2 linked regions of the Oryzias latipes genome follow. The protein of the gene in region 1 interacts with the protein of each later gene in a biochemical or structural test. Links are inferred from orthologs where the notes say so. Each region holds a gene or a part of one and is shown in the gene's direction. Other genes may lie near its edges.

What was found. The genes of interacting proteins can lie anywhere in the genome.
Region 2: the proteins of hspg2 (region 1) and fibulin-2 form a complex in vitro, tested with the Homo sapiens proteins (2 studies listed by BioGRID). The link is inferred for Oryzias latipes from reciprocal best matches to the Homo sapiens genes HSPG2 and FBLN2.

What each region holds. Positions count from the first base shown.
Region 1 is NC_019865.2:23,380,635-23,384,134, reverse strand, and holds part of hspg2 (basement membrane-specific heparan sulfate proteoglycan core protein), read left to right. Parts: intron 1-140; coding exon 141-266; intron 267-377; coding exon 378-566; intron 567-2,165; coding exon 2,166-2,285; intron 2,286-2,514; coding exon 2,515-2,646; intron 2,647-2,950; coding exon 2,951-3,095; intron 3,096-3,500. UniProt on the Homo sapiens protein: Integral component of basement membranes. Component of the glomerular basement membrane (GBM), responsible for the fixed negative electrostatic membrane charge, and which provides a barrier which is both size- and charge-selective.
Region 2 is NC_019865.2:17,508,126-17,512,265, reverse strand, and holds the start of fibulin-2, read left to right. Parts: upstream 1-1,340; 5' UTR 1,341-1,403; intron 1,404-3,085; 5' UTR 3,086-3,173; coding exon 3,174-4,140. UniProt on the Homo sapiens protein: Its binding to fibronectin and some other ligands is calcium dependent. May act as an adapter that mediates the interaction between FBN1 and ELN.

The sequences.
Region 1 (3,500 bases):
TGGAATTATTTTGCTCGGGTCCATTTTAAAATGGAAAAGCTCAAAATACCGTACTGCTCAGTGGAAACAAGGCTGAAGGGTCATTTTCTTCCATGTGTATAATCCTTGAAAATGTACCTTCCCTCCCTTTATATATATAGTTGTTCCCATCATAAGACCCTGCATGGCAAATGAGTTCAGGTGTGGTGATGGAACGTGCATCCCGTTGAATTACAAGTGTGACAACAGAGCTGATTGCCGGGACTTGAGCGACGAGGAGACCTGTGGTAAGCGGCCATTATGATTATCCTCTAGTTTTGTAGCTTGCTGCCTAAGTTCCATTAAAGCAATCCATTTCTTTTTTCTGTCTTGCTAATAATCAACCTCTTTCCTTCTAGGTTTTATCGCTCCAGTCTATACAACACCTGCACCAATCACAGTCCCTCCCATGAAAGTTTTGCCCCCCGCTCCACCTTTACGCTGCAGAGCGGATCAGGCCACATGCCAGAGTGGGGAGTGTATCTCTCGTGACTACATCTGTGATGGAGAACGGGACTGTGCAGATGGAAGCGATGAATTCAGATGTGGTAAGAAGTTGCACAAGATATGTAGTCTTCTATTGAATGCACTTGAGTGAAAGTTCAATTAAACACAGCAGAGAGCCATTTGTGTTTGGTGATTTATTTATTTGCTGTGATAAAGCTTCTTGGCATTAAATCCTACACAGTTGGGAAGCCAGTTTATTTCCTTTTTAAATGGTGCCACATTTAAACAAGGAAACAAACAAGACTTTTCACCATGGAATTTTAACACAAACAAAGATACTAAAATCCCCCAAATTCAAATATTCATACTTTTTGTGCTAAGATTTCTCGTCGAAGATGAATTCTTTATTTAAAAACTATTAAAAGTAAATTTTTAAAAGAAAATCTATCAAGGCAAAGCACTCTTTGAACCCTTTTAATAAAATTAAATATAAAAGAAATGGGATACTTTTCATTTTTTTCACATAGAACAAAGGTATCTCTAAATGCATTTTTACCTAAATAAAAGAAAAAGTCTGTCTGGAAAAATTCTTTAGACGAATCTGTGTTCCTATGAAAAGGTCTAAATTTAAATTACAGTACAGACCAAAAGTTTGGACACACCTTCTTATTCAAATTAATGGGAAGGTGTGTCCAAACTTTTGGTCTGTACTGTTTTTAAAGGTTATGTAAGGTCAAGTAGCTACAGGTAGTTGCCAGAGGATTACAACAGTTATAATGTAATTTAACCAATCACAATCAATAACATATTCACAGTTTTTAGAAAGTGCTAGGGGCCAGATATTACTGATTTTATGACAAAGGCATGTGGGCCAGTAAAAATTTGAACGTAGGCCGCACTTGGTCCACAGGCCGGACTTTGAACATGCCTGTTCTGTATTAACAGAGAATTAAAAGGCCTTTATCATGCTATTCTTAAGCCCTTCAGCGTAAACTATATCCAAATACATGATAATATATTACCTTTGGAACACTAAATATCAACTTTTAAATGAAAAATTAGTTATTTTCCCAGCTAATTTTCCTACCTGGAAGGAAGACTACTGGATCTGAGGCACCGGCTTTCAGTCGGTGTGAGTGTCGCCCATTTCATGACGTCAACCTAGAGCCGGCCTTGGCAGCATGTCTGCATTTCGCCCACGAAAACAAACATCTGAACTTTCGCAAAGATTAACAAATTCTTAGTTGGATTTGATATGGTCATTCATGTTACAGAAAGAGTGTTTCAATTACAGAAATTTAAATTCAAATCCATGAAAATATTTCAACAACCAAAAGCCAAAATAAGTACACTTTTTGGTATGTGGTATTTTATTAACCAATACTTTTTTTTTGGTTAAATTAACAAGATCAAGGTACCTGCAAAAAAAGCCCATACCCTACCAGCTACAGCAATGCAAATGTGTCCTCTGTAAAGGACATTTCTAAACCTGAATACCTCCTGACCACTGGATACTACTGAATTACCTCATTTTGGTATCTACAGAAGACATTTGGGGCTTTTCAATGTTACCAAATGTGAAGGGGTGGGGCACTGGGAATTGTAGTTTAGCTGGGTTTTTATTCACCAAGAAAAGTATTGTTTTTCCTGCCCTCAAAATTTGTACCTATATTACCTGAACAGCTTTGCATGCTTTTTAGGCACTCCATCACCTTGTGAGCCAAATGAGTTTAGGTGTAAAAATGGCCGCTGCGCCCTCAAGCTTTGGCGCTGCGATGGTGACAATGACTGCGAGGATAATTCTGATGAAATGGACTGTCGTAAGTCTGAACTCTGTTCTTTCCATGAGCTGAAACAACAATTTCCATCTGTATTTTAAAAAATAAAGGGTTTTTTTTCACTGACATGCTGAAAGTGCTCATTTTTGTGAGCTGTTACGTTGTTGTTTATGATTACCAATAAGACAACCCTATCTGACAACTTGTTTCCCAAATCGCCGTCCCAAAATATCAGACGTGTCTTTCTGTTTCTATCTATTCATCACTGCAGCTACCAAAGGCCCTGAAGAGCAGTGCGCATCTAAGCACTTTGAATGCGTCAGTGATCGCAAGTGCATCCCAGCTAGTTACCAGTGCGACGAAGAGCCGGACTGTGCTGATCGCTCTGACGAGTACGGCTGCAGTAAGTCCCACTCCAGCAGCTGGATCTTTGTTTTCTCTCATGAACATTTCAGTCTTTTTTTTTGGCACGCATGCTGTGACAGATTAGCCACAGCTCTTGTCAAACATCTGTTGAGTGAGAAACATCTTTTTCTGATAGACTCATTCGTGAGAACTTGAAGGAAATTCTCCATCCATACTTGGGAGTTAGGTGTCAGGCATTTATGTTTCTTAGCCGGGTAGCCAAAATGTACTCACTTAGCGGCTCTTATTTGTGCATGAATAGATGTCTTGTTTTTCTCTAATATCCATTTGACACTTTTTAGCCCCTCCCACTGTAACAACCCCACCAGAGGAGTCCATCCAGGCTGTACGGGGCTCAACTGTTATGTTCACCTGTCGGGCTGTTGGCGTTCCAACCCCAATGATCACCTGGAGACTCAACTGGGGACACATTCCTGTGAGTGGCAGGTGAGTTGATTTTCTTATATTTGGCTTAACGTATCAAAAATCCGCCCAAATTTTGTTAAAGTGTTTCAGAGTTTTTTTTTTCTCTTAAACACGGTCCTTGGGGGCATATCTTCTGTACCATATGTTAATCGCACCATCATCAAGCTCTTTTCAGGCCCAATTGTCAGGGATGCACCAGTTTTTTGCTATTGTCACACTGCGCATGTCACATGCGTTGTAGGATGAGCTAAACACGCAGTTTTGAAAAGACATTTAGCAGATGCTGTTCACACTGGACTGTTGCTACCCAATTCTAGCACATGAGTTGGCACTAGAGTTGGAAAAAGCTTGGTGCGAAATGTCAAAGTGGTGCATATCTTGCAAATTATGCTCCAGGCTTTTTTTTACTGCTCTTTTCCGATATCT
Region 2 (4,140 bases), about 5.9 Mb from region 1:
TCAACGGAGGTCAAATACTACATGAGGGAACAGGCTATTTGCTCCCTGCAACACCAGGAAATCTCTTTAGAGTGGATGTGGTGTCAGATGTTTGTGAGGATATTGTTTGTATTTGTTACTGCACAGCTGATTTGTTTTCATATTTAGAGCGCTGACAGTGTAGAATTTAGATTAGAACCATACTGTTGTTACAGAGGAGATAATTCGCTTTCAAAACATTCTGAAGTATTTTACAACCATATCACAGTAGTCCTTCACAAGAAATACTTATGTGGTTTAGAAATTTGCAAAATGTCTGAAAAATCAACAACAAAATACCTCTGATGGCATTTCTGCCTGCCAAGTTTTCGAATACCCATAGAATGACGGTTGTACTCCAGTATTCACAATTTCTGCACAGAGTCAACACCCTCTTTTATGCAGGAAGCTCCATACTCTGTCTCTGTATGTGATCAGATTATGAATTTGAATGTGAGTGTACCACCAGGATGAACCTAAGCTCAGAGACATAGGTAAAAGGTTTGTGCTGATTTACATGTAATTCTGACTCTAAAGCAGTCGTTTCAGCCACTCAAAATGCAAAAGTTCTGTTGAATAACCAATTTTTCTAAAGGAATTGTGTGTTCTTGTGTGCTTTTTGTTTAGCCTTTTTACAAAGGTTTTTGTTTCGGGGTATTATGCATCATAAATTTCAGTTGGGAAAACCTTTTCAAGAGAACTCAGGAAGTCATTTACAGCATGTGCAGCCCTGCTTGCATTTGAATGAAAAGAACAGAGCAAACCAATAATAGGAAACCAACAGATCTCTGTCACTGCTCCTTCAAAGGAAACCCCTTAGACAAAGTGACCACATGGCCCACCAGCACTTCAGGCACTTGAAGTCAGTCTATTCACCCAAAGAATCAGATTTTCTCTTTTTCCACTCGAATTAGTCACTAGGTTACATTTAAGATAAAAATAGTAGAGAAATAAAACAAATAAAATAACAAAAAAATTGATAAAGAATGCAAGAAATGAAGCACGTCTTATTTTTGTGCTTTGTTTATTGCTTATCCCTATAATTGGCACATGACAAGGAAGCTTCTGCTTATGTCACTGAGACAAGTTTTCTTTAAAGAGTTCAATTTCTCTATTCCAATCAACTTTGGGGTCACTTAGAAGTTAGATGATCAAATTTATGGGAAATGCCACTCCATGTCATCATTTCTCGCATTAAAGGGTGAACTGCGTTGAAAAGAAATTAGTAAAAAGAAAAGAGTAGCCTGGAAAAGTTTGTCTGTGAAGGTTTGTCCCGCCCTCAAGCGCAGGGGCGCTCCCCTGATTAAATAGGAGCGATCAGGGCGCAAACTTTACGCACACGTCCCGTCAGAAGCTCTGAAGCGCAGCAGGAGCGGGAGCAGGAGGTAAGCTGAGTCTCTATTTCCCTACAATTAAAAACTCTCCACGACTTTGAAAACAGCGAGTTTTGATTTCCAAGGGGCATCACACGAGCATGAGCAACTACTCTGGTGTTAAAGTGTTTTCATCGCTGATTTGAAGAGATCATATGAGCCTGCTCTTTCTCAGGAGGCTGTGTCGTGACCCTGCCAGGAATGTAACAAGCCTTTAATATAGTTAAAAGATCATATGACAGCGTGATTCATCACAAATGAACTGAAGTGTACATTTGGACCTCCACGGGTATATTATGTGCAGCTGTCACGCATTATTGTCTCCTGGCTCTGTGCGTTTGTTTGCACTCTCTTGAAAGTGGATATGCTGTGCATGCGCACAAACACAATAAGGGTAAGGGTAAGGGTCAGTCCTGATCAATCAGCCACTCTACATTATTCTTTGGAAGAACATTACAGTGTTTTTCACTTAGGTTGCAAACCCTTTGTGCCACAATCTCTCTTTTTTTTTATTGAATTTTTTGTGTCGCTTAAAATGAACTTTGGTGCCTTTACAGCTGACAGTGGTAGGGTACTATTAAAGCCCCATAACAGTCAGCCTGTGCCAGTTGGGGACTTTGAGATCTGGTAAAATGATTCTGTACCTTTCTGCACACAAAGGCCTCTTTGATTCACCAAACAGAGTTCCATCAGGTTTTAGGTTGTTTTATGACTGAACTATGAAGGTTTTCAATATCAAATAAATCTTGATGGACCCTACGGTGAACTAATCTGATTTCAAGCAAATGCATTCCACATTTAGCTCACATTTAACTCAAAATATGCATGGCAATTTTACTTTGAAGGTTGCTTCTGTTGAAAGAAAACAAACCTTTAAGGTGGGAAAGTGTATCAAGGGCCTAACATTGGTGATGTTAAGTTAACCATAGCTCTATCTGATAAATCTGAAATTTACCTTGCTGTGAAAACACCAATCATTTAGACCACTAGATTAAAAAAAAAGCAAAACAGAAATAGCATGCAAGTTTTTCAATATCTCACGGGATTTAAAGTCACACTAAATCACACCTGATAAAGTTGGTGTTGCCATTTCCAGTATGTATGTTAGAAGAAGAAAAGCTCTTAAGCTCGCTGAATGCAATCACAATATTGAATCTCTGCCAGTGCCAACAGTTGCAGGGGAGAAGTTTGCCAAAACAGTTTGTGCTCCACCAGCTTAACCTCTTTGCAAACACGTTCGCATTAATCTCCAGCGTTCCCACTAAACTCTAAGGATGTTGGTTACCTAATTAGGATATATTTTCACATTAGTAATGATAGAAAAGCTGCAGTCTTTACAAAACATCAAATATTTTCATGTGGCAGGCTCAGTATGTGCGGCATGATAAAAGCACCATCTTTGTTGCAGCTGAAAAACGTGTTGGGTCATTATTGCACACATTTCCTCCGCTAAGCTTTCTTGGCAAATTTCTATGTGAAATCAAACAAAAACCACATCCTTCCTGCTGTGTCATGTCACAGCAAACGGCTTAGAAAAATACACATTCCGCAGGTGATAAAACGGATGCAGATAGGTAATTAGGTTGAAACTGAATATGCTTTAAAGCAGGTTAGAACACAAACCACATAATAAGACCCTAATTTGTTCCAGTGTGAACTGTAAATATATGACTAATCCCTGTTCACTTTCACAGGCAAAAAAGGTTAAATTCTGTCCAACCTGGAAACAAATGACTCAAGACTTCTGAAGAGCTAAGACTTTGGCATCTTTTTTTCAGCAGAATGACGATTCAGAAGTATTCCTCTTTTTTCTGCTTTGTGATTTTAACTTTGGACATCTGTGCAAGCCAGAAAGACTGCTCAGGTGTGGTCTGTCCCGTTCTGCAAAACTGCATCGAAACTGTCTTAGAGACAGGTGCCTGCTGCCCCAAATGTATGGAAAGGGGATGCATCTGCGAAGGGTACCAGTATTACGACTGTATCCAAGTTGGCTTCCAAAACGGGAGAGTCCCAGAGGGAGAATCCTACTTTGTGGATTTCGGAAGCACGGAATGCTCCTGTCCTCAGGGAGGAGGGAAGATAAGCTGTCGTTTCATTCAGTGTCCTGAAATTCCCCCAAACTGCATTGATGTTTTACAACCTGCAGATGGATGCTCTGAGTGTGGGCGGATCGGCTGTACCCACGGCAACAAGAAATATGAGGCAGGACACTCTTTTCGGGCAGACAACTGCCAAGTTTGTCATTGTCCAAATGAAGGGGGCAAGATAATGTGCTCACCCATCCCTGACTGTGACTTACACAGTGTTGATAAGTCTATAGGGGTGACGACTACTGGGAACAGCAGCCCATTCAGAGACATAAGCGGCGGGCATGGCACTTCACAAAAAAGTCTTGTGGAGCCCTTTTCCAAGCTTGCACTGGGAAACACTCTGCCGCTGTATAAACAGGACCCACCCAGAGTTGGCTCAGAGGACCATGACTACTCTCGGGAAGAACCAACATCTTCTACTATTTTGAATTTGGCCCAACTGGTGGAATCAAGTACCTTGCCCTTGTCTTACCCAGAGTCAAATGCTACTTTAATCTCTCATGGTGGCAGGAGGAATGAGAAGAAGCAAACTCAAAGAAAACCTAATCTAGTGAGGAGCACTGAAGAAAAGCCTTCACAGAGCATGAATCAAACTTCTGCAGGGGCGCAAACCAGAGCATCACCTACAACCACAACCAAGGAGGGAATGGCCACAGAGA